Caenorhabditis elegans: one gene and its partner. The protein of the gene in region 1 purifies or fractionates together with the protein of each later gene. This does not show direct contact. Each region holds a gene or a part of one and is shown on either strand. Other genes may lie near its edges.

Region 1 (4,762 bases):
GGAGGAATGGGCGGTGGAGGAGGATTCCGTGGTGGACCACCTGGACGCGGTGGAATGTAAGTTTTGAAGTGTGGTGGAGTGCTGCTGCGCCAGTGGACGGAATTTGTCTAAAAAATTACAAAAAAATTAATTTTGAACTGCCCTTGTTCGATAGAGCGCGCTTGCATTTTTTGTAATTTTTAAAAAATTCGTTTCTCACATTTTCCAATGATTTTTCTGTAAATTTTCACTGGAAATTTGAAGAAAATTTCAAGAAAAATGCAAATTTTTCACTAGAGAGCATCTGTATGGGTACGTAACCATAAAGTTGCCTTATTGTGAAAAATTTGCATTAATCTTGCAAACGTTTCTTCAAATTTCCAATAAAAATACACTGAAAATATAAAAAATCAGTAGAAAATGAGAAAAATAAACTAAAAATGCATTAAAATAAATAAAAAATACAAGCGCGCTCTATTGAACAAGGGTAGTTCAAAATTAATTTTTTGTGTTTTTCAAATCAATTTCCCCCCCCCCCCCCCCCCCCCCCACTGGCGCAGAATTCTCCATATATCTTTATAAAATTGTGCAAGAATAATCCTAATAAATGTCTGAGGTTACAGGGCAAACAGACGCGGTCGAGGAAAGCGCCCGGGAGACGGACGAGGGGGACCAGCATCGAAACGAGACAACGGAAAGCCTGATTTCTCGGCTGACGTCAACATGAGCACTTTCTAAATTGCACCCCCGGCAGAAACTCACTTTTTCTTTGTTTTTTAAATTATTTTTCACTCCCCCCATTTTTTAAAAAATTTTAAACTTTTTCAACCAAAAATTTTGCATTTTGCATTATTTTTCTAAATTTTTTTGTTTCGTTTTTCGAATGGTTTTGATCTCAAAAATCGTTCGACTTTAGAAAGTGGTGCGAAAAATCGAAATTCTATAATTTATATACATATTACCCTCATTTCTTTTTCGAATTTTTTAAAAAATTTTTCCACTCCCTCTCTCTCCTCAACCCAACCCGTTAATCTCTCACGACCTCAAAAAGTGACAAAAACCATTCTGAAAAGTTGTATTTTCTCATTAATTGTAATAGAGATTTTGATATTGAGCTTTGCAAAAAATGGTTTTTAACGTATCTCTCTCTCTCTCTGTTTCTCTATTCCCTTCACCCTCTCCCTCTCTCTCCATTTGAAACCGTTTTATTCCGTTTTTTTTTTCTGTGTCTCGAAATTTTCACCTTTTGCTGTGAAAATTGGACGCACACACAATTTTAAAATAAAATAAAAAAAAATTTCGTTCAAAATTTTTACTCTTTCTTTCGGAAGTTTGCCCAAATTTGATTTCTCTGTTTCAGATCTTTTTTTTCGCAGTTTTCTACAAAAAGCTCGGAGAATTTTGCAATGCGGCAGGGAAAAAAGGGCGGAGCGTCGTTTGCAAGCCTGCGGCGTGGTTTTTTTTGGGATTTTCAGGATTTGGAAAATATAAAATATTTTTGGATTTTTACAAAAAATTAATACTTTTATCCAGTTTTTGTCAGAAAAAAAAAATTAATGTAAAATTTTCGAGCCTCAACCAAAAAATAAATGCCTTTTTCACTCAAAATCTTCAATTTTTTTACAAAAAAATGCAGAAAAAAGTGAATTTTTTCTAAAATAATCGCTGAAAAATCAAAAAAAAACCGCGCCGCAAGTTTGCAAACGTCGCCACGCCCCCGCAACACCTAAATTTCACGATTTTCAAATTTAATTTTTAAATATATCTTTTTTTGCAGGGAGAACCTTCGTCAGATGAGCGATGAAAAGAAGAAAAAGCGGTAGGCCGAGCAGGCACACATTTTCAGGCAATTTAACACCGATTTTCAGCGGATTTTTCAGATACAGCGTGCTGACGACGTCATCGTTCTCATCGTGGCGGAGATCTTCAACGAGTGGAAGGTTAGGCAGAGTTTTTTTTTTGGCTGAAAATTCGAGAGTTTTCGATGTGAAAATGGCCTTTTCCCCAAAAAAATTGTCAATTTTCGCGTTTTCGCCGCGTTTTTTGGCACATTTCCCGTGGAAAATGTGCTTTTTTCGCGAAAAAAAATTCGAAAATTCCGCGATTTTTGAATAAAACAATTGCGAAAATGAAGAAAACTCAATTTTTAACCTGAAAAGCTTGCAAAACTTGGTTTTTGCTCTAAAAATCGCAAATTTCATCCGAAAAACCCCCCAAAAAAAGCAATTATCGCCTTTTCCTCGTATAGCTGTCGTCGTTCCACTTCATCAGTTCTTCTCTCCAATTTTTCCCCGGCTTTTCCGCATTTTTTTCCCAACGAGTTTTACGTTTTTTACTGCTGCTCAGCGGCCGATTTAATTTTAATTTATTACGATTTTCAGTCGTGAAAATAATATGCACAACAGGCAAAAAGATTTATGGATTTTCGAGCGAGTTTTCCTCGAGGAGTACACAAAAGCTGCGTAAATCTACACAGAGGTTTTCCGGCCGTCGAGTTGGCTTTTTCTCATATTTTGGAGAATTTCGTTGTTCCGTAGTTTTCAGCCAGCCGGGGTTCTGGCCTTCCTCATTGAATTTTTCGCGCTCCATTGACAATCCTGTCTGCCGGACAACGCGTGGGAAAGTGTCGTGTACTCCTCACTGACAAATACATTTAGTTTTACAACTAGAATCGAGCCGCAACGCGCCGTAAATCTACCGAGCCAACATGGCCTAGTTCGGCCAAAACTCTTCCATTTCAATTTATGAGGGAAGCATAGAAATCTGTGAGATCGGTTTAATTTTCTAATTTTCAAGAATAAAGAATCTCACGAGATTTGTCTTTTCTGGAAAATGCAATCACAGTTCTGCTTTCCCGCTAGTTTTCTGGAAAATGTCCATTTTCAAGCTTCTCGAGGTTAATTTACGACTTTGTGCTGGCTCACATGAGCTCCTAGAGCCATTTTGGAATATTCAATGGCTCCGTTCGCCTTGGAAGACGAAAAAGAAAAAGGAAAAAATAGAGTGTTCGATTAAATTTTGCCTCCTTCGCCGTTCACATCTACACTCGGGGTCTCAATTTTTCCTCGCTCATTTCATCAAATGGTTGAAGGCTCCCGGAGCCCACCCATTTTGAGCCTAGCTAGCTGAGCACGCCTTTTTTGCTGAAAACGACGAGAGCAGCAGACACACGCACACATTTTTGTGCTCTAAGGCTCAGTCAGCTACACAGCACAACAAGCATAGGTTCGCTTCATTCAAGAACATCAAATTGCATGTGCTTAAATGTGCTGCTCATGCTATTTGCTCATTAGTACCCTTTGGAGACGATTGTGGTACGCGATTGTGAATCGAAGGCGGGGAAGATATGAAAAGTAGGTTTTAACTTGGCTTAGAGCTCTTAGAAGTTGTCCTGAAAGTCCTCTGGTGGCCGTGACGAAGAGAAAATTCGGCCACACTCAGCAAATTGAGACGGTCCAGAGCCGCTCCGTTTGACGGATTCACCCGATTTCGCTTTGATCTTCGAAAAATGCGGGAGGTGAGACGCAGACCTCTCAACTGTTTTTGCATGGTTAAGAGTGTGCTGACGTCACATTTGTTCTGCGAAAAAATTCCCGCATTTTTGTAGATCAAGCTGTATTGGGATAGCCTGACACCATGTACGGATTTTGGCAAACCTACCGTAATCCTTACGGGACATGAATCTTCGGCATCTCGTTTGAAATAGACAATTTTCAACGCGAAAATGGATTTGCTGGAGATTTTTTTCATTAATTCCAAAACTACAGTAGCTTTCCAAAAATTTGTGGAATTCGCATAAAACTGTATGGAAAATGAATAAAATCCAACAGATTTCTCACCGAAATCTTTCAATGTCGATTTACGCAGCTCGTGTACTTCTCGAGGAGTACACGAGAGAACTGCGTGAATCGACACATGGCCGTGGCAGAGGTTTCACAGTGTGAAAGTGCCAGGTTGTCCCATTACGGTTTGATCTACAAATGCGGGAATTTTTTGCCCAAAAAAGTGTGACGTCAGCACGTTCTTAACCATGCTAAATTAGTTGAGAAGTCTGCTTCTAAATTCCCGCATTTTTTGTAGATCAACGTAGATCAAGCCGAAATGAGACACTCTGGCACCACCAACTCGTCGAATTTTTTATTTTGTTTCTCTTATAAATATTTGTGCTCGGCTTCTTCACCTGCTCTGCTCACCCTCTCGGAGCTCAGTTTTGTTGCTCTTGGATACGGAAAACCGCCGGGAATCAAGTGTTGTAGTACTTGAAGTTTTTCGATTATTTTCAGTCATAGATGTCCCGCTGGGGAGGAACACACAAAAATAGCGTCATTAGTATTCCGAATCTGGTAGATTTCACAGCAGGGGGCACGTACATATTTAGCATTATGGGGACAATTGGATGAGTTTCAGTAAAGATTTTGTGGTGGTTTCTGAAAGCAAATTGCCGATTTGCCGGAAATTTTTAATTACGGCAAATTGCCGATTTGCCGGAAATTTACAATTACGGCAGTTTTCCAGTTTGCCGATTTGCCGGAATTTCTCAATTACGGCATCTTGCCGGTTTGCCGGAAATTTTCAATTACGGCAATTTGCCGATTTGCCGGAAATTTTCAGTTACTGCAATTTTCCGGTTTGCCGATTTGCCCGAAATTTTCAGTTACGGCGAATTGCCGATTTGCCGGAAATTTGCAGTTACGGCAGTTCGTCGGTTTGCCAATTAGCCGGAAATTGTCAACTCCGGCAATTTGCCGGTTTTTCGATTTGCCGGAAATTCTCAATTACGGCA
Region 2 (3,255 bases), 1.5 Mb from region 1:
CACATAAAGGTTCCCGAAATGGTGGTGGAGTGGATGAAGAAGAAGATGGAATGTTTGGTATTACCACCTGAAAATTATTTGATTTAATTCTCAAACTATCAGCAAATTGTTACTTTAGAAGTCTTGACGAGATCCACGATATGATTAATATTAACAATCAATGCTAAATGTGTTGCTTTTACTGATAGAATCGTGGCTTGTGGGACAATACAACTGGCTCCACCTTGTTCCAGAAGTCTTTCGATTGATGTCATCTGATCCTTGCACATAGTTCGGTATGCTTCGAGTTCGGAGAGTTTCGTGGCAAAAAGCTTCGTTGATTCATTATCATCAGATTTTTGATTATTAGTAGCAAGAACTGAGGAAACCGATGGATTACGGGAATGACTTTTAGTGCTAGTCGAGCTATAATCCGAATCGTTTTGTACCTGAAAATTATTGATTTTCCCATTGAAGTTTTAACTTGATTTCTCTGATTCTAAAAGTAGAATTTCGAAGTGAACGATTTTTTATATTTTATAGCCTCGTACTATTCCCGAACTTTCAATTGACTTTTGTGTGCCACCGTCCGTACTATATATTTACACGGGATGACAAAATCAGGTAAAGATCAACAATGGTGTTTTTGATGTAAAAAGGAACATAAGAGAGGTGTTTGAACTATGATCGGAGCATATTTAAACGAAGAATATACAACTTTTTATCTCGTAATTACTCCGAGAGAATCGCTGGGGAAGTAATTTTTTGAAAAAATTATGTTTTAAAAATACCAAATTCAGATTCAGAAAACACTCACTGTTTCCCGGACAACTGATCGCATCCATAGAAGTTTTGACTGTGAATTCTCTGCTTTCAAATACCAGACAACGTTTTCGCCCATAGATATTGAGAATTCGTTTTCATCAAATTCGTGGGCCTAAATTTTTAAATATACAAGAACTTTCTGAGAAATCAATAAAAGCTCACAGCTATTATTGCACTTTTGAGAAATATGCTTCCTCTGCATCCGTGGGATTTTTCGGCTTTTGACAGATAATAAACAAGATTTCCCTCTGTGATTTCAAAGTATCGATCTTGCCATCCATTCACGTAGTTTGTCCATTTTTTCATCACCCCATTCGTGGGAAGGACACTGGAATGAGATAAATTATATTAGAATTTATCATTGAAACAATTTCTGTAATTTAAAATATCTACAAAACTCACACTTCGCTCTCCATCGGCTTCGTTCGCGAATCAGCAGGTGATAAATGATAAGACAGAGGCTCTCTTTCCGAGAGACTTTCCCCGTTTCGATACAGTTTTGCTCTCACTTTGTTCTGCAAACAAAGCTCACGGTTTGGTAGGCAAACAGTTAAATGGTAGTCGATGGCAGAAAAGAAAGAGTATAGACAACCTTACATTTAGTCGATTCTAAACATAGGGCGTCGAAGGTGGCGAATATGGGAGAACCGGTTTCCTTGTACTGCAAATAGTTTTGTGAAGTAGTGTCTGAAACGAAAAAAGAAATTTGCGGAGCCAGGTCATCAAGCATGAAATAAAGTTCGACGCGTAACGAGGCACAATAGTTTAATGGGAATATGCAGAGCGTTTGTGCTTGTTGCATGGAGACACGAAAAGCAGACATAAGTCATAGAACTTGAGACAAAGTGTAATAAACTATTTATGTCACACGCGTTTTTTCAGATATCAAATGCAGCGATTCACTTCTCAATGTGTTTTGACGTTACAGGTGACGTTAAATTCCGATTTTTGTTCAATAATCCCGATGAAATTTCATATGAAGAAAACCAGTTTGACAGAACATAATTCTCGCAAAAGGTTCAATTGGTGTCCAAAAAAATTGGTCGAAAACAGTGGTCAGTAAAGGCGCTCCATTGCAATTCTGGCACAAAGCCAAGAATGCTGCGAGGTCGGGTCTCGCCACGTGCTGAAGTACGGTTACACTCGTTTCATTTGTGTCGGAGTTGATTGAATGGGCGCCGGCGGGTTATTCTTTTCACTTGCGTTCGTCGCTGTCGCCTGTGCTGTTGACACCTGTTCCAAGTTGGATTGTCCGAAAATGAGCAACACTGAGAGAACCTTCATCGCCATCAAGCCTGATGGAGTCCACCGGTTAGTTATCTTTGAAGAAACTTATTCTAGCATCCTCAATGGATTTTAGGATTTTCAAAATCCTAATTTTTTAAATTTCAGTGGTCTCGTCGGAAAGATCATCGCTCGTTTTGAAGAGCGCGGATACAAGCTTGTTGCTCTCAAGCAGATGACCGCCTCCAAGGCCCATCTTGAGGTACGTTTTCACGAAATTACAAAATTTTAGGCCCAACCAGTTAAATTATTATTTTTAGGTTCACTACCAAGACCTCAAGGACAAACCATTCTTCCCATCCCTCATCGAGTACATGAGCTCTGGACCAGTCGTCGCCATGGTCTGGCAAGGACTTGACGTCGTCAAGCAAGGACGTTCCATGCTCGGAGCTACCAACCCACTCGCTTCCGCCCCAGGAACCATCCGCGGAGACTTCTGCATCCAAACCGGACGCAATATCTGCCACGGATCCGATGCCGTTGACTCTGCCAACCGCGAGATTGCTCACTGGTTCAAGCAGGAGGAGATCAACGACTACGCCAGCCCATTCATCAACTCATGGGTCTACGAATAAACTGATTGCTTATGTCTCCCGGTGTTTTCACCGTTTTCGTATCTCTGCTGAATGTTGATAAAGTATTGCTTCCCACCTAAAACATCGTTTTTGTTGACATCTATTCCTGCGCATTCTCTAATGCGTTTTCATGGCAACCAATCCTACACGACTCAGCTGTCATCAAATCTTTTATTCAACCCGAAAACGGAAGGGGATTAAACATATAATATATTCAGATGACTGCAATAAGTTATGAAAACACGAATTAGGATAATAATTTCAGCTTTTAAGCTCTGAATTCCGCCACTTGCACGAGTTTGTTGCTCAGATTTGTGTTATAGAAGTCGAACTCGGGATTGTCCAAATGGTTTTCGAAATCGGAAAGCTCTCGGTACAACTTCTTCTGAATAACAGCTTGAAGGCCACGCAAGAAGTTGGAACCTTGGAAAATCGTTCTGAAATGAATATACTAAATGAATATATAACATCAAATGTTTTTTCCTACTTCGTTTCTTTCCAACTATCTCCATCTTTTTCATATGCCACGAGGCGGTCTTGTTCACAATCTGACACCAGTCTTTCGTTCATCACTTGTACGAGAATCGCTGCC

The links. Proteins that work in one complex are often made in the same cells at the same time.
Region 2: the proteins of ksr-2 (region 1) and ndk-1 purify together in Caenorhabditis elegans (affinity purification with western blotting, with the first as the bait; one study listed by BioGRID). This does not show direct contact.

Annotation. Positions count from the first base shown.
Region 1 is NC_003279.8:12,056,793-12,061,554, reverse strand, and holds the start of ksr-2 (Kinase suppressor of Ras B), read left to right. Parts: upstream 1-1,756; 5' UTR 1,757-1,772; coding exon 1,773-1,798; intron 1,799-1,847; coding exon 1,848-1,919; intron 1,920-4,762. Other genes in the region: hrpr-1 (RRM domain-containing protein), read left to right, coding at 1-56, 603-717. UniProt on the Caenorhabditis elegans protein: Probable inactive protein kinase which positively regulates Ras-mediated signaling probably acting at the level of let-60/ras or/and lin-45/raf. In the germline, regulates meiotic progression during oogenesis and mpk-1 (isoform b) phosphorylation.
Region 2 is NC_003279.8:10,552,602-10,555,856, reverse strand, and holds ndk-1 (Nucleoside diphosphate kinase), read left to right. Parts: upstream 1-1,943; 5' UTR 1,944-2,062; coding exon 2,063-2,115; intron 2,116-2,196; coding exon 2,197-2,290; intron 2,291-2,348; coding exon 2,349-2,663; 3' UTR 2,664-2,738; downstream 2,739-3,255. Other genes in the region: cert-1 (Ceramide transfer protein), read right to left, coding at 1-67, 114-428, 797-916, 967-1,132, 1,207-1,220; F25H2.4 (MPN domain-containing protein), read right to left, coding at 2,932-3,100, 3,151-3,255.